Lytechinus pictus: one gene and its partners. The protein of the gene in region 2 purifies or fractionates together with the protein of the main gene of each other region. This does not show direct contact. Links are inferred from orthologs where the notes say so. Each region holds a gene or a part of one and is shown on either strand. Other genes may lie near its edges.

What was found.
Region 1: the proteins of E3 ubiquitin-protein ligase HECTD1-like (region 2) and cytoplasmic 60S subunit biogenesis factor ZNF622-like purify together in Homo sapiens (affinity purification with mass spectrometry; 4 studies listed by BioGRID, with this or other methods). This does not show direct contact. The link is inferred for Lytechinus pictus from reciprocal best matches to the Homo sapiens genes HECTD1 and ZNF622.
Region 3: the proteins of E3 ubiquitin-protein ligase HECTD1-like (region 2) and coatomer subunit alpha-like purify together in Homo sapiens (affinity purification with mass spectrometry, with the first as the bait; 3 studies listed by BioGRID). This does not show direct contact. The link is inferred for Lytechinus pictus from reciprocal best matches to the Homo sapiens genes HECTD1 and COPA.

Annotation. Positions count from the first base shown.
Region 1 is NC_087257.1:20,023,418-20,031,120, reverse strand, and holds the start of cytoplasmic 60S subunit biogenesis factor ZNF622-like, read left to right. Parts: upstream 1-3,748; 5' UTR 3,749-3,961; coding exon 3,962-3,965; intron 3,966-4,030; exon of another isoform or gene 4,031-4,551; intron 4,552-7,228; coding exon 7,229-7,703. Other genes in the region: large ribosomal subunit protein eL43-like, read right to left, coding at 3,537-3,596. UniProt on the Homo sapiens protein: Pre-60S-associated cytoplasmic factor involved in the cytoplasmic maturation of the 60S subunit.
Region 2 is NC_087251.1:34,598,066-34,605,768, forward strand, and holds the start of E3 ubiquitin-protein ligase HECTD1-like, read right to left. Parts: upstream 4,173-7,703; 5' UTR 1,839-4,172; intron 636-1,838; 5' UTR 624-635; coding exon 408-623; intron 1-407. UniProt on the Homo sapiens protein: E3 ubiquitin-protein ligase which accepts ubiquitin from an E2 ubiquitin-conjugating enzyme in the form of a thioester and then directly transfers the ubiquitin to targeted substrates.
Region 3 is NC_087252.1:3,708,957-3,716,659, reverse strand, and holds the start of coatomer subunit alpha-like, read left to right. Parts: upstream 1-3,940; 5' UTR 3,941-4,070; coding exon 4,071-4,110; intron 4,111-5,471; coding exon 5,472-5,585; intron 5,586-6,391; coding exon 6,392-6,546; intron 6,547-7,176; coding exon 7,177-7,253; intron 7,254-7,703. UniProt on the Homo sapiens protein: The coatomer is a cytosolic protein complex that binds to dilysine motifs and reversibly associates with Golgi non-clathrin-coated vesicles, which further mediate biosynthetic protein transport from the ER, via the Golgi up to the trans Golgi network.

The DNA of each region.
Region 1 (7,703 bases), on a different chromosome or scaffold from region 2:
AAGAGATCAAGCAAAAAAAAAATTGAACGTTGACCATGCTAAATAATATAGTCCTGGATGATGTAAAAAGTCAGAAGGCAGGTGCAATCTACCCCCCCCCCCCTCCACCAACCTGTACCTTCATCGGCACAAGAATTTAATTGATAGAATAATAATTTTGCTGTCCGTCTTCGTATATATCCCTCGAACTTCGAAGGATGATAAAAAAAGCCGTCTCTAAGTCCAAATATTTTGCCCATTTCCCGGACTCATTTCTTCATACTTACAGTAGAAAGGCTCTTATAATCCTATATAAAATGATTCCACTTATTCCATATGGAGAGTGTCCTTTTTTCAACCATGGTGTTGGAGGTACTTGTATACCTCTCCATGATTCAACTCTGATCGTGATTCAGCTGTGCATGGACCTTTCGTTGGAATATCCGTTACCATGGTGACCGGCGGCCAAGATAACATGCAGGTGGTCATTGTTTACAAATATCTGGAGACTGAGAATGGAGGTTAAATGCCGCGTCATTCCCAGGGGTCCATGTTCTGAACATGGAAACGATTGTGGTTGAGCCCCGTTCCCACGGTAGTTGCCATGACAGAGTAACTATAATCATATACATGTAGTAAGTTCTTTGGATCCCAGTTTTCAAAGCCTTCACAAATCATAGGAAATTTATCAATTACAACTCGCTATCTACGACAAATATAATAATGACTGTGTTGGAATCAGTTACAACCAAAATGCTAAATAAAAAAGAGGGGTTAATTATATTTGAAGGGGTGAATCCAGGAATTACCAGAACGGGGGGGGCCGGGGGGGGGGGGGGGGTACGCTGTTTGGACGAAAAGAAGTTGGCTGCCACTGTGAAGTTGACAACTCGATAATTTTCTGACAATCAAGCAAAAAGAAATCAAAATGGAGTGGATGGAAACTTGTCGCCCCCCCCCCCCCCACCAGCACTGATTAAAAGCATTTAAAAACAATTTTCAAGAAGAATCAACGGGATCACGAATAAGAAAGAGAATCACACATTAAAAAAAATCAATTACATGCAGAATTAAATTCATAGAACAATAATTTTGCTGGCCGTCTTCGTATATATCCCTCGAACTTCGAAGGATGATTAAAAAAAAAAGCCGTCTCCCAGTCCAAATATTTTGCCCATTTCCCGGACTCATTTCAGTCATTATTTTTCTTCATCTTAATGCTTACAGTAGAAATGCTCTTATATATAATCCAGAACTGATTCCACTTATTCCAGATCGAGAGTGTCTTTTTTTTCAACTATGGAGGTCCCTCTCCATGTTTCAACTCTGATCGTGATTCAACTGTGCATGGACCTCTCGGTCCATGAACTGAACATACGTTGGAATGTCCGTTACCATGGTAACCAGCGGCCAAGATAAGATCATTGTTTACAAATATCTGGAGACTGAGAATGGAGGTCAAATGCCGGGTCATTCCCAGGGGTCCATGTTCTGAACATGGAAACGATTGTGGTCGAGCCCCGTTCCCACGGTAGTTGCCATGACAGAGTAACTATAATCATATTAGTTCTTTGGATCCCAGTTATCAAAGCCTTCACAAATCATAGGAAATTTATCAATTACAACTCGCTATCTACGACAAATATAATAATGACTGTGTTGGAATCGGTAACAACCAAAGTGCAAAATCAAGAAGGGGGTTAATTATTTGAAGGGGTGAATCCAATTATCAGAACGGGGGGGGGGTGGGGTTACGCTTTTTGGACAAAAAGAAGTTGGCCGCCACTGTCAAGTTGACAACTGGATAAATTTCTGACAATCAAGCAAAAAGAAATCAAAATGGAGTGGGTGGGAACTTGCCCCCCCCCCTCCCACCAGCGCCTGATTAAAAGCATTTAAAACAATTTTCAAGAAGAATCAATAAAATTGATAAAAAAGAGAATCACACAATTAAAAAATCAATCCCATGCTGAAAACTACATGCTGATTCTTCTCATTCTTTGCCTCGCCCCCCCCCCCCCCCCCCGCCCCATCTCGTCTCGAATTTTGGGGAATACCTTTTTCATGAGGTGATGATTAAACTTTCTCTGTCTTAGCAGATACACACTCGATAATGCACTGCCACATCACATGCAAATCACAGACAAATGCCAGACTCTCTCAGACATAAATATAAACAAAGGAAATTTCCACGCCGTGTCGTGAGCCACGTGGGAAGGTACATTGAATGGACACACTTTTGATGCACACAAATAATCCCAGACACATTTCATCATAAGCTTTTGTCTCTCTCATAACCTCTCAAGCATCGGTTCTGGACGTTACGATCGCGTCTCTTTCCCCCTCTCTTTTTCTATGCATTGCATTCGCTCGTGACATGGCTTGACCTAAACCTGACCTAAACGCACCCGTACGGGTGCGTAACTCAAACTTTTGAAGACAGTCGGGGTCAAAGTAATACATATTCATGACCGTGCAGCGTAAAAATCATGGCACGCTGACATCATTAGCAACATTCGCGGAGACTCCTCCTTACGAGGGAGGCCTTCATTTCCTGAATTGGACGTGAACGCGTATCGTGGATGACCATATTTTGGGAGGTTTTAGAGCTCTTATTGGCGGAAAAATGTCAATTTCTCTTCGCTTGTAACTTTGCAGTAAAATGGAATAACTTCAAGAAATTCGGCAGTTGGTATGAGTGAAATTTTCCCTATAAAATGATTACAGTCATAGCACGTAAGTCCAACCCTATCCAAAGATAAAAATTAGGTCCGGTCTCCCTACTGATATATCGTGATGCTTGTTGTCTGTTGATTTCTTCAAAACGGGCGCTAGCGGTGGCAAATTTGCCGATCTTTTGCCAATATTTTCATGAATACTGAACTCATCCTAAAGAAATTTTTAGGGCCTAGGCCTAGGCCTACTAGGTAATGGGTAATTTTAGGTCGCTTTTCACGTTGATGATGTCAGATTTCAAGGATATTGGCTAGTTTTTGAGATAATGACCGTCCGCGAAGTATGGACACGCGCGAAGTTTGGACTCACTGCCATGCATGCACCGCACCAGTCACCAAAGGCAAAGCAAAGGTTCCCCAAAGCAAAGACTAACGTTAGACACCACTTTCGCTCGCCGAGTCCGGCCCGGGCCGAATTTTTGTCATGACTTGTAAGTTGTAAATTCATAATCTTTTAAAGTTCGACTCTATGGAAAGCAAAAGTCGAGGGGATCTTCATCAAATATGGTATGCCTGGGTTATTTCAGATCTACCACTACCAGCTTAATTTGGCCAAAACGTGGGATATGAATTATGATTGACTACAATCAATCATCGGCAGATCGGTAAAGTCAATGAACACAGCAAACTGGTAGCGCTAGCGAACTTAAATAGAGCAGGGATAATTTACACCAAAATAACAGATTTAATAGTTGAAAAAAGATATGAAAATGGAATGAAAAATGTGATAGCCTAATTTAGAACATCCGATTATTGTTGATTCGTATATTTAGGGCAAAAATCGGAAGATTTTCAGGGATTTTCGTAGAGTTACACACTGACCATTTTAGACAAATTACGGAGTCCAGCAGAAGAGACCGTATTAAGGTCACCTCGGTCCATCGTATGGATATTTTTATAATTGCATTGTTATTTTTATATTAATATTAATCCACATAATAGATAAATAATTTTTTGTAATTCGATATATATATTATTTTTGTGATTTTGTTCAATATCAACATGAATTAACCTTGAATTTCATATCATCGGATCTTTCAAAAATTGGCAACGGTAAAACTCTTACAAACAACTCGGCCTTTGATTTTGTGGCTCACTAAAGTTGGTCATTATTTTCAAATTTGTAAAAATTGAAATATTGTATGATTCAAACAATAAAATACGAAAGAAATAGTGAGTGAAGGACACCATTGACTGTCTCATTTGCATGTCACTAACTGGTGCAACTATTTTGTGAAAACTAATACATGTGTAAGTGAAACTCATAATTATTATATTATATATCCGATTTGGATGAAATTTTCAGCGCTATGCTTATTGGATTTTTTTCTATTACTTCAAAATCAACATTTTTCTGGGGTAGACTTGACTTTTTTAAAGTGAAAGACAGATAAACTTCACTTGGGCTGCATGCCCCTCAGCCAAACATCAAAATGAATCACCCGGTATAGTGCCAGGTCGACCCCCCCAAATATCTGACCGACATCATTTATGACGATATTTACTTTGTGGAGTTGTCATAAACCTCTTGCGACGTGTTGCGCAATTACTCTAGAACACAAATTTGTATTACTACGGCGTGCGATTCTTTCACATTCATTATATAGTAGGACTCTCACGTTTTTATGATACGCCTATTCGAATTGCACATGAGCTAAATTACCGGACATTCGTTGAGGTAATTGTCTTGTCTTGTAAGCTAAGTACTGCACTACGACCAATCAACCTCAATCAAACAAGGTGAGACCGACCGACCGGGTGTGCGTTACTTAACAAGTTATAGGTTTACCAATTTTACCAGCTTTATTGTGGTTAGTTCATGAAAGTTTTGAGCGAGGTGAGTTTTAGAAAGTTAAGAAAATACGTCCAGACTCTAACTCTAAGATCTTTAAATTAAATTTGGCGTTGCCATTGCCGGTCCAGCGAGCGCGAGTCGAGAGTTCCGCCCCGCTCTCCGCCTTGCCTTTGGCTTTGCTTTAAAGCCTTTACTTTAGCGAGGGCGGTGCTCAGCAGCTGGCTCTGGGGCGCTAATGCAGTTTTGCACCGGCCGACTTCGAGCAAATTTCCCCACCAGAATCAGAACTTGATCACCATCACAAATGGCGCGAACATTCGACCAGGCAGAGCAGAGGTGTCTGGCAAGTGTGAATGTCCGGCCTTATCCTGAAATAAGTCACCTCTCTTGAGTCTTGTGTGTCAGTGTGTGCGCTCGTTGTGTACAACTACAAAGACAAAGTCAATGACAATGCCAATGGCAATGGGAGATGAAAGAAGTCACCGCCGTTGACGAAATGAACGGCAGTGAATGTCTTGTCTTGTCTTTCCGTTGTTGCCCACAATCAAAGTGTTGATTATTATGGCAAAGTTGAAAAAAGTTGACTTGACCTTGTCTGCGATATCCTACTGTATGATGGGGTGTCCAAACTTCGCGCACTTTTCAAAAATATTCATCAGGCTTAAATTTTTTCACAAAATATTCATAATTTATACATAACCAATTCAAGAAATAGTTACCACATTGACGGCAAGATCGTAAACTATAAAATCATGGACGAAAATGTGAAGTAGGTCAAGGGAATTCGCCGGTATCGCGATCTCAAAATTCTATTCCGATCGGCGAATGCGCGCTGTGGTGGAAAAGGTTCAGAAAAAGTGTGACCTAACTTCGCGGACCAAAGTTTTTGTGGACATTTAAACAAAAACTCAAGCTCAAAAAGTGAAATATTTATATCAGTTTGATGGCAAAATGCTATAGAATCGGTTAGTACCACATTTAACTCACATTTTTGATGATTTCTGCTTGCAAAATGGTGATATCGTGATGCTTGTTGAGAATATAAGATTTCTTCAAAACGGGCGCTAACGGTGACAAATTTGCCGATCTTTTGCCAATATTTTCATGAATACTGAACTCATCCTAAAGAAACTTACACCAAAGGATAATTTTAGGTCGCTTTTCACGTTGATGATGTCAGATTTTAAGGATATTGGCTAGTTTTTTAGATAATGACCGTCCGCGAAGTATGGACACGCGCGAAGTTTGGACTCACTGCCATACTGTTGAAACATAGATTTTTTTTTTTTTTTCTTTTTTTTTTTTCTTTAAGATAAAAAATGACATTGCTGGTGATGCCGTTTACATGCTGACCCTTGTCACAAATGTGTCAAGGGTTGCAGCATCCACTACCTCAGCTGGTAGCCCGTTCCAGTCCTTCACAGTGCGAGGCAAGAATGAAGATCCTCTGTACTGAGTTCTACAGGTGATCAGCTGGAACTGTCTGTTGTGAGAACGACGCAGGCGAGTTGGTAGTGGGACAAGTTTTGAGTTAATTATTGGGCAATGTGCAAGGTTGTTGGTTATTTTGTAGAGCATGGAGAGGCGTGTGATCTTTCTTCTCTGCTGAAGAGTCTGCCAGCCGAGGGTCTTGATCATCTCACTAACACTTGAGGTTTTATGGTACTTGTTCAAGACAAAGCGTGCAGCACGTCTCTGTATAGACTCCAGCTTATCAATGTGTTTCTTTGTAGAAGGATCCCAAACTGAGGAGGCGTACTCGAGCACGGGTCTCACAAAGGCTTTATAAGCTCTCTCCTTGATCTTTGAATGGAGTGGTGACTTAAACCAGGATAATGCCGAATGTCCCTCATAATGTGGTCCAAAAATTTTTTAAACGAGGACAATCATGACAATGTTTGGAATTATTATGATAAGTGATAACCATTTTCTGGGCATCACATTAGTGATTAGACTTACTTGGTTAATAGTATCGGCAGATGTCTGTCTGGACAGTCTGGTATTAGAGTTAGTGGAAAGGAGAGCCGAAAAATATTATTGTGTTTAAATTATAGATTATCATTGATTTATGCTGCATGTCACTTTTGATAAGTTAATTATTGAAATCTGGTGAGTGATGTTTCAAAATTCAAACCCAATTTTTTTAGAGGAATCGCAAAAAAAAAATCAGAATCAGAAAAAAATCAAATATTACGCCACCATATTGGCTTATATTTATGAAAACAAAACCCCCACAATCGTTGAGAGGATCGCCAGCCAGACAATCAAAACCACTGGCGGATCCGGGGGGGGGGGGGGGCAGAACTGGCCCGTGCCCCCCCCCCCCCCTTGGGAAACAAATTAAAATGTAAAAATGCTGTTGAAACAGAAGTGTGCCCCCCTTTTGCAAGTGAAGTCCTTTTTTTTTTTTTGCTTGTTAATTTTTTTCTGGGACGAAATGTATACTTAATTTTTGGTTGAAAACTTTTTTTTGCTAGTCAAATTTTTTCCTCAGAAAAATGTGCCCTCCCACCCACTTGGAAAATTCTGGATCCACCCCTGATCAAAACTATGCAATGTTTTGATTGTGCGGCTGAGCTAGTGATCACTGTCACAGATCAGCCTGTTGACATTGCACAATTCGCTCCCAATTTTGAAAGTCCTTAAAATGGGCTGTGTCAGGGAGAACCTGCAAGCTGGCTATATGTCTTTAATATTTCTTTTAAATATTTTACTACAGATATCTCAAGTATAGCTGAGCTGGAAAGAACAATGTCATCAGGGGCATTCACCTGTATCTCGTGCCGAGTGGCATTCGCCAGTACGGATCTACAGAGGGCTCACTACAAGTCGGACTGGCATCGCTACAACCTCAAACGCAAAGTAGCCGAGCTTCCTCCCGTCACTGCTGCTGATTTCAAGCAGCGCCTTCTTGCACAACAATCCAAGACCGCTGAAGCACAACGTGACACCTCTACTAGATGCGGGGTATGCGGGAAGCACTTTGGCACGGAGAACGCCTATACAAACCACCTACAATCCAAGAAACATAAAGATGCAGAGGCAAAGATGAAAGCAGCATCCGATCAGAGCCAGGTCTCCATCAAGAATGCCAAGAACAAACGCGACCAGGCCAAGGTTGACGCCTATGAAGGAGAGAAGATGAAGAGGGAAGGGGCTGAGAAGAAAAAGAAGATGGACAACAATGCTGCACC
Region 2 (7,703 bases):
GAAATCATTATGATGTCATGGGTTTGTACGCACAATATATGACCACTTTTTGAGACTTGAAGCATGCAATTCATATGTATCAGCATACATGTAAATGGTGTACTTTTTCTGACTACGTATGAACATGAAAACAAATGTTGATGAGGCTTTGAGCATACCTGAACAAAACATTATTCCACAGCTTGTTAAAATCTAGATTTTGTGAAAGCATGGTGAATGTATAGGTGACAAATACTCCTCTTTGTTTTATTTTATTTTTTTTACAGAATGCATTAATCTTGAACTATCAGTTGGATTTCAAGTACATTCCTTATGAAATAACTATTAACAAGAATGGAATTTAATAGTGTACATTGGAATTTCACAATGAAATAAAAAAGAATGTAGATTTCAAATAAGAAACTTACATGCGGATCCTCATGTTTGAGCAGAGTGGAGAGGGACTCCACACACGTCTCCAAGGAGCCGTCCGATGGCTCCATCTTGCCACAGAGCCTGGAGACCACTGCCATGGCCGAGTGGAGGGTATCCTTGTGGATCATGGAGCCGTTGTCTCGGATGAAAGATAAGACGCAATGGAGACCACCAGCCTCAAACACGGCTCCTGACTCCCTTGTGCACATCAGTTCAAGGACCTAGGTGACATATTAAAAATTATGAAAAACATATTGATATGAACTTTGATTTTTTAGGTTAAATTCAAGACTGGATTAATGGATATTGTAGTCCAGATTGGGCCTTGGTGTTTGGAAGTTCTCTTTCCCAAAGCTAACATAGAGGGCACATGACTCCCACTCTCTAATCAGCGCCAATCCACTCATCTTCCCTTATATCAAAAGTTGATTTTCCAAAATATACATGTACATTAAAACATTTTTTTTAATGCATAAATAATCAACTGGAAGTTCATTATGTTCATTTGAAGAAAAAAATCAAAATAAGATAAATGCAAATGTCATAATACATTATTTTCTTATTTCTATTTCATTTTAATAATTAAACCTTATTTCATATTCTAGACATTATAAAAAAAAAAACATTCAACCACATATAAAGCAATACCCATTGGTAAATACATGTAACATACAGTATCAAAGAATGTTTACCATATGTTGACACAACATTTCTTATTCCATATTTCATGATATTGGACTAAAACATATTTCTATTTACGGAAAGATAAGGGGATTTGTGTAAATTATAGATTTCAAAGCTCTCTGCCAAGGTGCCCCTCCTTCATAATGCCTCTGGCAATCAAGATTAATTTTCCATCATGAAAGTCCCCCATGACTTTATAACACGATGGCATGTTTGGCACAAAGAAATGGTTTATATTCACTTGGTCTACAAGAACTTGGTCTACTACATGTACTCAGTTCAGTTTAATACCAAATAGGCTAAACCCTTTGGTCTACTACCAATTTGGTCCAATTGCTGTTTGGTCTACTGCACTTGGTCTAATGTCTACTTAGTTCAATCTTACAGAAGATTAATGCCCAGTTGGTCTAATGTCCACTATTCATTTATAGTTTTTACTTTGTTAAAAAAAAATGAAAATTTGATTCAGAAAGAGTTTATCTGTTCATATTGTATTAGACCAATACGAAATGAGTAATGTATATTAAACTGGACATTAGAAGAAATGTTAAATGGGCTTTGAAGTGGTAATTAATCAAATGGTAAGTAAACTAATAAGTTGTAGACGAACTACATGTAGGAGTAGACACCATGTGGGATTAGACCAAATGGAAAGTAGACAAAACAGGTGTAGACCAATTGGCAATTTACCAAGAATTTAGTATAAAAGAAACCATTACTCAAGGTACATGCACGTTTACCTTAATGCATTGTTCAGCTAAATCCTTGCTGGTTCGACAAGACAGCTCGACAACAACCAGACGATTGCAAAGGGCCTTAACAGCGCCATCTACAGCCACGATCCTACGAGTGCACTCCGCTGAGACATCCAGGTAGTAGGTGATGGCTCGGGCAGTGACTTCCAGTACGTTGTCCGGAGCATGCTCGTCAAGAAATATACGGCACAGTGCGGGGAGAAAGGTTCTAGGTGGACAGCTGAATAAAAAGAAGAAAATAAAACATATATTTTACACATGACATTACAGGAATATTGTTACTTGTTCATATTGTTCGCACGCTATAACAGAAACACCTACAATGTAGCTGTATCAAGTGCCCTTTTGTATCATCATCATCATTTTTTTCAATGTCCTACCTGTATAACTGCAATTTTGAAGGTAGTTTTGATAGATGAATTTTCACTCTTTTTACAGTGTATCAAATGCTTATGAAAATGTGACAAATGAGTAGAATATTATGACTATAGGCCTTTATAAAATATTGTTTTTACCATGCTTGGAATATGTAGCACGCATACATTATATACATGTGCATGCAAACATTTGCAATGCCCATATAAAAACATTTTAATATAATTTACATCACGGTTTTACTCATCCAGGAACATGCAGCTTTTTATTACCATCTGTATCATATAGAATGAGCAAACACACACAAATAGATAAATACAGTCAGTGATGTGTAAATATGAGTACTGAAAGAAAACTACACTGTATATGACTCAACCCACACATCTTTTACCCAAACAATAATGAAATATGTCCATCTCTATACACAGCTTACTACATGTACATGTATAATGTACCTACTGTTCCTCTGATTGTTATAAAAGTTTGTTAGAGTGCATGTTCATGTACTCAGTAGATGATGTTGGTAATGTTCATGCCATGTATAAAGTTAGGCTTTACTGTACAACATATTGTAAGTAAAGAACCAGAGGATTATTGTTAAATTTTTTTTTGGTGAATAAAAACAGGAGTTTGTACAGTGTAGTTTTCAAAAGGCACTTCACTTATATTTTCTATCCACAATCTTCCAGTAACATAGCAGCCCCCCCCCCCTGCCTTAACATGCAATGTACTGATGTACATATTGAAGACAATATATTGGTGGTATTTAACTAAGTTTAGGGGAAGTTCATCCTGGCGATAAGTTGGTTTTAATATGGATTTTCAAAGTTTTAAATTATGTCCTATGTGAGCAGCTCCCTATACATGTACATTATTCATGCAACAACTTCCATTTAACAGATATGATGAATAATATTATTTTCTTATAGCCAGGGGTATGCCATTACAGGTACAGGTGTACATGTGTCTGATGATAAATCCACTGCATAAATGAAATCAATTATGACTTTTTTGAGAAAATGCAATTTGGTGGAATTTATCCACAGCTATACAGAGCTGCTCGTTTGTGACATCATAATTTCAAATTAAAAAAAATCTTTAGTCTGTTTCAATTTCTTTCACTAATTTTCATCAATCCTTCACCAATATCTTTCTCTAAATTTTTCCAGTTTTATCAGGGTGAAATTACCCTTAAAAATGTTTTGAAAATTCTCTCAACATTATTGTGGTACATGTACATGTATCAACATAAATAGGCCTACATGTACATGTAAATATATGAAAAACAGAACTACATGTAGTCCCATAATAAAACCATAATTCATTATTTTGACTGAGTGTCAATCCAAACCATTGAAAGTTGACAACATACTTGCGCATAAATACATGTGCAAACGTAAAATCAGAAAATTATTTAGGCATCATAATAAATGATTCTCAAAACTGGAATGACCAATGCACGGCTTTACATTATTATATATAAAGATCCAACAAAATAATGGGAATTATTAGAAGGAATGTTGTTAATTGCCCAATATCCATTTCAAAGTCTTTTTTAAACATTCGTTCACATAACTTAGAATCATGTATGGGATCCCCACAGAATAAATACAAAGACATGACTGAACGCATCCAAAAGCATTACGTAAAGATAATGTCCAAAGACTGGACTTCAAGTTATGTGTTATTAAAACAAATTAATATGAACTTATTAAAAAAAGATGTAAATACCATCGGCTTGTTTTTTTTTATTATAAGATTGTACTCAACTTGATTAATGTAGGAGAAGTAAACACTGTAGGTCACAGAGCAAATAGAATAGGAAGAAATTATCACACTTACATAAGATGAATGTTCCATTTGCTAGTACAGATTATTATATTTCTTCTGGTAGTAACATGTAGCAATCAATCACTTGTTGAAATTAGACACTTGAAATATCATTTATATGCAATTTTAGTATTTTTAAGAATTAATTGTTGTCTCCCTACTGTAGTTTTCATTTGGAACTTCAATCTATAATATGATATGCCTTGATATATGTTGCCTATTTGTATTCCTATCTAATGTCATTGATTATGTATTTTGTTTTATATTGTGGGATGCCTACTTGTATGGGTTTTTTCTAAACCTTGTTTGGCAATCTAAGATATGTAAAATTTGTCTGAATGAATTCAAATCAAATCAAGTGCAGCACATGTCTTCAAAATGTTGTTTTCACTCTGCTTTCAAATTCAAGGTCACATATTTCCACCGAAACTGCCTTCAAGTGAGGCAAGAGTGGCAGCTGCAGCAACACCTAATTGCCAATTTACTTCCCTGCGTGCTGATAAAGTGCATATGAAATTTATGGACAATTTTTTCCCCCATGCAGGCGCACCTTCAGCATATTTCCCCCACCAGACACATTTTGTACACAGATGTTCACAACCAATTACGGGATATATTTGTTTACACCGTGGCCAACATTTTCTCACAATTTATTACAATTTATGAAACTTAGATGTTTCTCAACATGAGTTCACAGTACCAGTATAAGTATTTCTTTTTTTTTTTTCATAACTGGAATTAAGAGACAGTGAAAGAATATTGATAGCAAAGGAACAATTTATTCTGCTGGCAATCTTTTGCAATTAAAGTTAAATAATCTCATTTTGATAAGATTATTATTTTCTAAAATCATTATTCATATTTTATATTAATAAGAATGATGAGCAAATTGTCATAATATATGTAAAATGGTATTTATTTAAAAAAAAACTGATAACAATTATATATTGTTCATCAACACCAAAATATATTAAAACTGACAAAGTGACTAACATAAATTTTGTTAAAATTCTTTTACAAATTACATGTATAATCCTTCATTGTACAACGCCTACTTAGCTTGTTGTACGCGAGCAAATGGGAGGCTGAATGTCAAACATTCGTACCGTTGCACAAAAGACGTACCATCCAAAATGTACCGTCCAAAATGTACCGTTGCACGGCTTTAGGAGGTGACGTCACAATACGATTTAATTCATTGCGCTCGGTAAAAATGAACAATACGCGTATAAGCCAGCTGGCTAAATGCGCAAGGCTGCCCACGGTAATGTGCGCTTGTGGAATTTTGCTTTCTGCTTTCGGTATTTTTGCTCCCTTTTCATAGATTACTATAGGGATAAACTCTTTGTTTTTTCATATTTTCGCTAAATTCCGAGGCGTTGTACAACACAAATAGCGAATATCCTTATTCGTGCAATGGTGCGAGATTTCGCATTCGGTGAAAGAAAGAAACGCTCTATTCAACTCGGCTCACGCCTCGTTGAATAGAGCATCTTTCTTTCACCTCATGCGAAATCTCGCACCATCGCACTCATGCCTATTCGCTATTTGTATATTGTTCATCCATGTTTGCTTTTCAAACATTGTTTTTCTCAGCATGAATATTCCCTTGCTATGATACGATAGTCAGAACATTTGGGACACATTGCAATTCAATTAATGATTGAGTCATACAGACATGAATACTTTGTCACAGGAATCCTGATCGCTCCCTGGCAATTATCCAAAACATATCATACAATGATCATCATGATGCGCAGTGTAAAATGTAAATTATGTACATTGTGGTTTGCTTTGTTTGTAAACCTGACTTTGTAAAAATTGAGCTACATACGTGTACAGTGTATTTCCAGCACTGAGAACAAAATGAAAACTCTTTTGACATTTAGAATCAGAATGCCAACTTTGAACGTATACATCTTGAGATGATGTCATGTGCAAAATCATCTTATCCATATTGTACTGAGTTTATATTCTACTTAAAAAGAATCTTAGCGTACACCTGTACTGTACATTGTATAGTATGAAATGGGTGCAAGAAATTGCCTAACCATTGCTTTCACATCATAACATGTCTATTAGGGCAATTTGACGCCTGCCTTCCGTTCTCTTCTCGCGACTCGCTCAATGCCCGCAGCAAGGACATGATGTGAATGTGAATTAAGTCCTTGGATGGCAATGCCGTGTCTATGTTGTTAATATAAATAATTGTGATAAATGATAATGGTACAGATCTTTAGTTTACTCATAATTATTACAAGCATAAAGTGAGACAAACAAATCAATGAAAATCGACAAATGCAAAATGGACATGAAAGTAATATTCTAAAAAATAATATTAATACAGTTCCTTGCGAGATGAAAATACTAGGCAACTGTCTTTTTCTTTCTTATTTATAAAAAAAATGTCAAAATGATTTCACCCTGCGAATAATCTAATGCATCAAATGTTACAGACTGATATCTCTTCATAGTTTTTTTTTCAATGTTTTTCAGTTACTAATAGCCGTATGGGTACTAGTATTCAACCCGGCATAATTCAAAGATTTTGACATATTCCCCAAAATATTTAGAAATAGGGAATTTATCTTAATTTCATACCTTTGTTATTTCCAGGGTAATCTGTTGTCGATATTTTCTTTGTCAATCTGTCGACTGTATGCGCGGAGGATCGAATTATGCGGCGATGGCCTTTTGCACTGAATGGTACTAGTATTCAACCTAGTGAGGATTGATAGCAAATCTCAAAAGGGTTTAGATTGCTAAATTAGATCTAGATCTATGTAAGTCTCTGGCTTTGATTAATTCCCTGTTTGGTCTCATCTCAAATGGTCTAGTCCTTAGTCGGATGGGACAAGGGCAGATTGAGAGACAGGGCCATCTTTCATCGCTAGGTTGAATACTAGTGCCGACGGGTTGAATACTAGTACCAAAATCCGTCGCCGTATAATTCGATCGCCCGCGCACACAGTCAACTGGTTGAAGAAAAAAATAACGGAAAAAGAATAACCAGCATTTGCTCTTGGAAATAAGACGGGTCTGAAATTCAGGTAAATTCTGTATTTCTATATATTTGAGGAAACTCTCCAAACGGGTTGAATACTAGTGCCCTTACGGTACTTCATTAGTTCATTGTATGGCATACATAAGGGAACTTATTTTACAGGGCCTATTTTAGTTTCCTTTTTTCATTTTCAACGATAAATTGGTACATATATGTACAGTATGTTGTTTCTTTTTTTAATTGAAAGGCATTGTAGTGGTATTCTGTAATATCTTTAAAATTAAATGTATTTCATTTGTATATGATTGCATGCATTTTATATAGGGCTACAATATACAGTAATAACCTGTTTTTAATGGGAATATGAAAATAAATCATCAAACAACAACAGGCTACTGGGGAAAATTGTATTCATTTTTTATAATCAATTAGAAATTATATTCAAATAATCAGAATTCATAAGGGGGAACAGCTAGCAAATGACATCACAAAATTAAAACTGGGTTTGTGCGTTTGATGGATTTAAATGTTCATTGTGTTTGTTAGCTAATATATTTTCCTCCTTTTTCTGGGGACCGACATAATTTCAAGGCAAACTTCCTCTTTAAATAAAACCAAGCATCTATTTTCATGAATTATTT
Region 3 (7,703 bases), on a different chromosome or scaffold from region 2:
ATTTTGGGCCCATGCACTCTATAAATTCCAAGGATTTAAAATAAATCCAGATCGTCTGTGAATATTAGTGACCAGCCAAATTTTGAATTCAATTTGAATCTTAATTAACTTTTAAATCTCAAAAGGTTTAAATTCAAGTATTTTAGATTTATATTTAAATCAACAAGGTCACATATTCGGCTGGTCAATATATCCCACTATATTCACAGCCGATCTGGATTGGCGAAATAAGAGAGTCCCCCAAAGAAGATGTAGGGCCTATATATACGTTCCGCCGCTGACAAAAAGTGGATCCGAGTTCTAACTCTTTCTTTCTTCTCAATGGGAAAGCTAAAGCGGAAAGAAAACATGAAAAAATGGAAGAAGAAAGAAAATAAAACATTAAGAAAAAAAAAAACCACCATAAAAATGATAAAAAAGAAAGAAATGGAAGTTAAAGAACATAAAACGGAAAAAAGTGAAAAATAAGAAAAAGTTAAGGATATAGGAGAAATAAATAGACAAACGACTTTATTAAGATACTGAAGAAATAGATAGATAAATACATGAATAATTCTTGTATTTGTATTTTTTTTTGTATTTTATTTATTTAATCACGGTTAAAAAGCCTGCTTTCGGCTAGAAGCTGCTTTTCAGCAAGGCCGTGGACAAATGATAATAACATATAATATCAACATAAAACAAGCATACAAAAATAAAAACGAAAAACAAAATATATCAAAGCATGGGTAAAATACAATTGGCAAAAGTAAAATTGGAGTAAACAAAAATGAAAAATAAATAGACGAAAATAATATACAAGGTTATTCTTAACAAATGATGGAAGAAAGAAGGAATTAAAAAAAAACAGGGGGAAAAATAAATCTCAGTTTTCACTAGAGTATGAATTTTGAGATAATTTAATTAGTCTAATACAGTCTAAATAAAATTTAAAAAATCCAACGAGAGAGGGTGCTGCGCACTTTTGTAGTCGCCAATAACGGGAAATTTTAGATTTTCGACCAATTCCTCACCATAGAGATGTATACTAACTACGCTAGAGTGCGGAGTCGCCATAGGCGCGCGTACTTAACGTCTGTGATTGTGTGGAGCGTGGCGGCCATTGCTCGATAGGTATAGATTCGCAAAAGTACCCGGATGTACCCATAGCTCGTGCGTTGTAACGCTGTGAAAAGGGGTGCCGTCTCCGGCCTTTTTCTTGAAGAAAAGAACACAACCTCATAAAAATCGAAAATATGAATGACAAATTGCATCTCAATACACTATTAGAGTGATTACATGGGGATTATGCTATTAATTTGGCATTTTAAAAACCTGATTTCTCGGGATGAAATTCTAAATAATTTGCATTTACCTGTCCGTTTATAGGCCTGTAATAGATAACAATGTTGATATACTATCAAATAAACAATCATATAAAAATAAAAACATACAGCGGACATTAATAGAAAGATTGACAATTAATTCAAAAGACTGCAGTGAATTAGCCCTTCTCTGGATTTCCCTACCTTTAACTGCATCGTCCTCCTTCCATCCTTCCCACATTTACGTCCTTTGATTCTATGTTTATGTTGGATATAATTTTGTAATTTCTATATAGGCCTACATGATATGTAACTTGCTTTAATTTGTATGAAATATAGGCCTATCATTTTTATATATTAAGTTGTACAATAATTCTGTATAAGTTAGTGTTTTGATCTACATGCGCTATTAAAGGGCATCTCATTATTGTTCTTGGTGAGCCTCCCGTTACACCATCAATGTTGAAATTTGTGTTATTTGGTGAACGTGCTGATTTTGTTCTTATAGGAACATAATAAATTCCCCAAAATCTGCAGGCCTATATGGCCCGAAAATAAAATATTGATTTAAAATGTCGAGAATATAGCCTAATTTGTTCAAACTTTTCACAAATGACAGTTTTAATTCCCTTCACTTTAAGTTAGATTTGTTTTAATTCGCTTTTTAGGGGCCGTGTGTGCAATTAAAATAACAAACACACCTAAGCAAATTCGCTTTAACATACTGATCAAAATAAAATACAGGGGGCGCGACCGGACCCCTCCCTGAAATGAAAATGAACATTACACATAATAAATGATTGTGATTTTATGCACCCCATCACTTTCAAAATCATTCCGCGACGCCGTAATTAACATAATATAATAATTTTGTTCATCCATGGAAATCTTATTTAAAAAAAACTGATCGAATAACCAAACTCAGGTCCATAGGCCAGCAAATGACATTAAAGGAAGAAAACTAGAAAATCAAATTCAGTTATACTTTTAAAATGAAAAACAAAACTGGATATTCAAAACGCGTGTTTATCTGTTTATATGTTAGGCCGGTGCCAGTGCTTACAAATATTTGCCATAAAGTTCATTTATTCAAGCGACACAGACACAGTTAATTAGCACAATTTCAAGGCAGGTATCAAATTTGAGATTAAATTTGGATTTTTAATATCTTATTCCAAGTATTGTCACTTTTGCAATATTATTGTTTCATAATTATGTTTGGTTTTAGTACTCACAATTTTGCAACCGTTTTCATAATTATGATAAGTTTGCATTGATGTCTTTCATGATATTAGTTTTATACACTCTTGCAGTAGTAATAATATTCTTTATAGTATAATAAAAATTATATATCATAATCCCGCCCCTTTCCTTCTCTCCTTCTCCCCCTTCTTCCTCTCCTTATTATTCTATCCTTGATTTGTTCACATGATATTGGTCCAATCATTATAGGATCAGAAACAACGGCGATAAACAAAATATTTCAGCCAGTTTGCCGATCAGCATATTTTCAGCCGGGGAGAATCAAGTCTATACTTTCCAGAAAATCAAAGTAAAATTGTTTTGCGCATTGTGATTTGTTTACTCTCCGAAGTTTTAAAATGTTTGCAAGGCAATAACACTGTACATAAACATCCAACCCCCCATTAGGCCTCCTGTACATTGCAAAATTGTACGACTGCATGCGCGCATTTTGCTGTCAACAAACTTTTCTATACATTGATCGCAAGTAAGAAAGTATACTTTTATATACATATTTATAAATATGATGGGATGGTTGCCAGCAAAGGAAATCTAAATCATCAATTTTTAACTGAATCAATGCGTAAATCATTTCCAAATATCAATAAAAAGTCATTTTATGATTCGCGAGTTTTTGTGATGTTGGTTTACATCAGCGTGTAAGACATGGGGAAAAGGGATCGAGTTATTATAGGCCCTATTGTGTAGATATATATGGAAAATAAATTATAACAATTATCTAAAGTGAAGAAATAAATTATCAGCAATCAGCATAATAGTAATTAGGAAACTATGAACTATAAAAATACAATCGTGTTTTTTTTTTCGATACAGCGTCTCAGATGCATCACTGTGATATGGCCTATGAATTTTCTTAGGTTAATGTACATCAAATCATATTAAAACACATTAAATTTATTTATCAGGACCTAGGCCTAAATGTTATTTTTGATATTCATCTCTTCCAAATCATTAGAAAATAGAAGTCATATTAATGTATCAAAATTTTACCTAAGCAAAAACAATTGGGACTTTAAATCGTTTGCCTGTATTATAGCTGTATCGGCCTATATTATGCGCTATAGATAGGCCTATATAGGCCTTTTGACCTCAGTTTTGCTAGATTTTTGTTGTATTTGAACTTTAATCCAGTGCAATATTTACAATTTTGCTTTTCCATATGCTTTCGTGCTCATATGTCATCAATTTGTCATGTTCTGTGCTCATCCGTGTACATGCCCCATAGGTACTGTACGCGCATGGATATGGCAGGCTGCGAATACCTATCGAGCAATGGCGGACGGTCTCCACGTAATCACAGCGATTTGACGAAGTACGCCCTCTAGCGTTACTAGTATACATCTCTATGTTCCTCACTAATTGAACAGAAGAATATCAAGAGAAAACGGCTGTACGAAAGACTATCAAACATAAGCTGAAAGTGACGTGGCTGCATCTTCGTGGAATTGTCAGGAGAAAAGGAAGAAAATTACATTACTTTTTTGATGATTTGACAGCAGTATCATGCTTACAAAATTTGAGACGAAATCTGCAAGGGTGAAAGGTATGCAAGAAAATTAATAATCACATATTTGACTTTGCAATTTTGGGTGGAATTCGGTGTTGTGACAGCACCGCCAATGTCCGCAACTGATTCTTTGCAATGTCGGGTTTGGGACTGCCGATGTGCCGTGCCATGGCCCATTACCCCGGCCGCGCTTCCCCCGCTTGCTGCCGTCGTGTTTCGTACCGGGAGAGCTGAAATCCAGACATTAAATTGTGTGCCGTGGTTTCACCTTCATTATTTTGCAAAGTTGGGAAGATAAAGATAATACGAAAATTGTATTTCCTTAATAATAGTTGAAATACCGTATACTATATGATTTTTGAGAATTTCTCAATCTTCTTTTTTTCCCTTTCATTCAGTGACAGAAGTTCAGTCAAACGCAAACTCAAATTTTTATTTCAATTTTTAGAAAAAATACAATGTCATGATTTGGTTTTTCAATGTTACTGTATTCGTAGTAAGACTTATAACCCTTAAAATAATAATAATAATTTTATTGTTAAGCATTTCACCTTTTATCCGTTTTCTTACTTTGTTCGTATAAAAGTCAAATTTTATTAGATTGATTCACACAATCAGAGATTTGATAAATTGATGTGAAGCCTGGCCCTGGGTCACATGTTTTAGATGGTGATGTACATAGGTTAGTCCCAGATTAGATTTTCTTCAGTTTGTCATTGTGTTTGAACTCTGTCATTTTCACATACAGTGTCGTCCTTGTGAGGGTCCCATCCCCATCTCTCTGCCTTCTCCCATTAATCCTCGGTTCTTTTTTCCTTTATTACCTTATTAGTATTACTGGATGTACTGGAAAAATGCAGAAAGCTGCAGCCAAGTTTCCAGGTCTAGCTTTCGTCCAAGTTTAATCTTCTTCCACAAGTAATATGTGTGACTGTGAGTGTCCAGTGTACATGGTGCGTTTGCAATCATTTCTGTCAAATCAAATCAAATCATTCCCAAGGGTGACTGTACCATTCTTTATTCCAGAACTTATCAAGCCTGGAATTTACAGATGGAGTAGAGACAACCTCATTTGGTAGCGAGTTCCAGTCACGCACTATTCTGGCTCCGAAGGCATTTGCTCTTACATCCAGTCTATTTCTTTTCTTGAAGAGTTTATATGGGTGACCTCGGGTTGCCTCAACATTAATTGACGAGAAGAACATATCCTTTGTCAAGCCAGTCGATTCCATGCACTATTTTATAAGTCTGGATCATGTCACCTCTTCTCATTCTGTATTGCAGGGATGGTAGATTTAGGGCTCGAAGTCTGTCTCCATAGTCTAGCATTGCCAAGGATGGTATGAGTTTTGTTGCTCTTCTTTGTACTTTCTCAATCTCTTTCTTTCTTCCTCCAGGCTTGTGCTTTCACCCCAACCGACCATGGATCCTTGCCAGCTTGCACAATGGAAACATCCAGCTGTGGGACTACCGTATGTGCACTCTCTTGGAGAAGTTTGATGAACACGATGGTAAGTGTCATTTGCAGGGGTGAAGGTCAAGTCCAACCAAGAAAAGAATAACATGTACGTCATCCCGTTGACTACTAAATTCTGAGATTTCCGTAGTCTTTGTACATGTATCATCTGGGTCCCGTAACACAAAGGTTAGCGATTAATCGTACGATTGATTTTCACGATTGATTGTACATTGTAGTCAATGGAATCAATCGTAGAAAAATGTTCTACGATCATTGCTAAGTTTGTGTTATACTTATAGGCCCCAGGTTCCAGTAGGCAATGGGTTAATAAAAGAGAAGCCTCTCAGGGTCTCAGAAATCCTCATTTTCTTGGGAAAGTAGTTTCCAGACAGGGATGTACATGTACATGTAGTTCAGGCTGGTTTTTTTTTACAGTTATAACTTCCCATAGATGTTGTACATGTGACTTGGACCAAGGCCAAGTCCAGCAAAATGTTGCCTTGACTCAATACCTGTTTCCAAATATACAGGACCTACATGTATATGGACAAATTATGAATATTTTCTTGGATTGTGTAATCAGATGTCTAGAATAAACAAAATCACAGAGAAAAATGTGAGCCATTGTGAGCTCCCCAGTTTTTTAAAAAGAAGTCTAGGGGTGTGTTTATGCTTCCATTGCGGGTACAGAATCAACGTTTTCAAATGTCGTTTCAGATCGCCGATCACAAACTTAGTACTCGGAGTGCTGCTTATGCTTAATTTTTCAGAGGCAAAATTGCAATATACAGCCCTAAATCAACAGACATTCCAGAAAATGTTCTTTCAGAATTAAAAAAATTTTTACTTTTCTTTCAGGTCCTGTTAGAGGGATCAGTTTCCACCAACAGCAGCCCCTGTTTGTTTCTGGAGGCGATGACTACAAGATCAAGGTCTGGAACTATAAACTCAAAAGATGTCTCTTCACTCTCCTTGGACATCTGGATTACATCAGGACAACCTTCTTCCATCATGTAAGGAGATTAGTTCCAATATTATATAATAATAATAATAATAATAATAATAATGATAATAATAATAATAATAATGATAATGATAATGATAATGATAAATATGATAATAATAATAATAATAATAGTTATTTATATAGAGCCATCTATCTAGAAATATTCTATTCCAAGGCGTGTTATTATTATTATTACCCCGGTTTTAGCTCGAGCTGCCTTTCAGCTATGATCTTGTATTTCATATTACATGCATGACCAATTTTCCTTATGACATGTATGAGGGGTCTTGTGGGAGGGGTCTTGTGGGTCAATCAACTTACTTATCCCTATCAAGGCCTATAGCAAGCACCTTGAGATAGAATTGAATTATGTAGAAAAAAAATATTTAAATGAACAATGATGAATCCCATGCACAGGGAAGATTAATATTGTGTCTTCAAACATCTGTGCATTATTTTGCATCCAATGATCAAATCAGGTCAGATCAAATTGATCCCCTTCCCTCCATTACAACTTGTTCTGAAACATGGTATTTACTCATAAGGTCATATCTACCCCTCATGCTCTCTATTAAATATAATTTTACCACAACAATTTCATGATTTCTGTTTTTGGTGCTCTTTTTTTTTTTTTAAGGAATATCCTTGGATCTTGAGTGCATCTGATGACCAGACTATTAGGATTTGGAATTGGCAGTCAAGGAACTGTGTCTGGTGAGTTAACCGATTGACGACTGAATTCTTTAATTGCCATAGGCTTTGTACAGAGACCACCTCGTTCTAGTGTGCAATGGGTTAATCTGTTGACTACAGTGTACTTGAGTTATGTAATCCCTATAGGCTTTGCACAAGGAAAACCTGGTTCCAGTACGTAATGGCTTAACATATAATAACGAAACATGCTACTTCTGAAAGATTTATGTGTAGTAAATGGTGATAAATGGAGGCCCCGTGTAGAGGTGAATCACCACCTTTGCACGTTAAGAATTCAGTGCACTATTCGAATAAGAATAGGGGGAAACCCCGGTGTAGTGGTCCACCTGCATCCCCCAACCAGTTATCGGGAGGAGAGACCTGCGGGTCACAGTTCTGTGTGCGCGCCTTCTTGGCGACCCAGATTGGCTGGCTCCTCCAATGCGCCTTTGAATGTCTTTGACATACAGT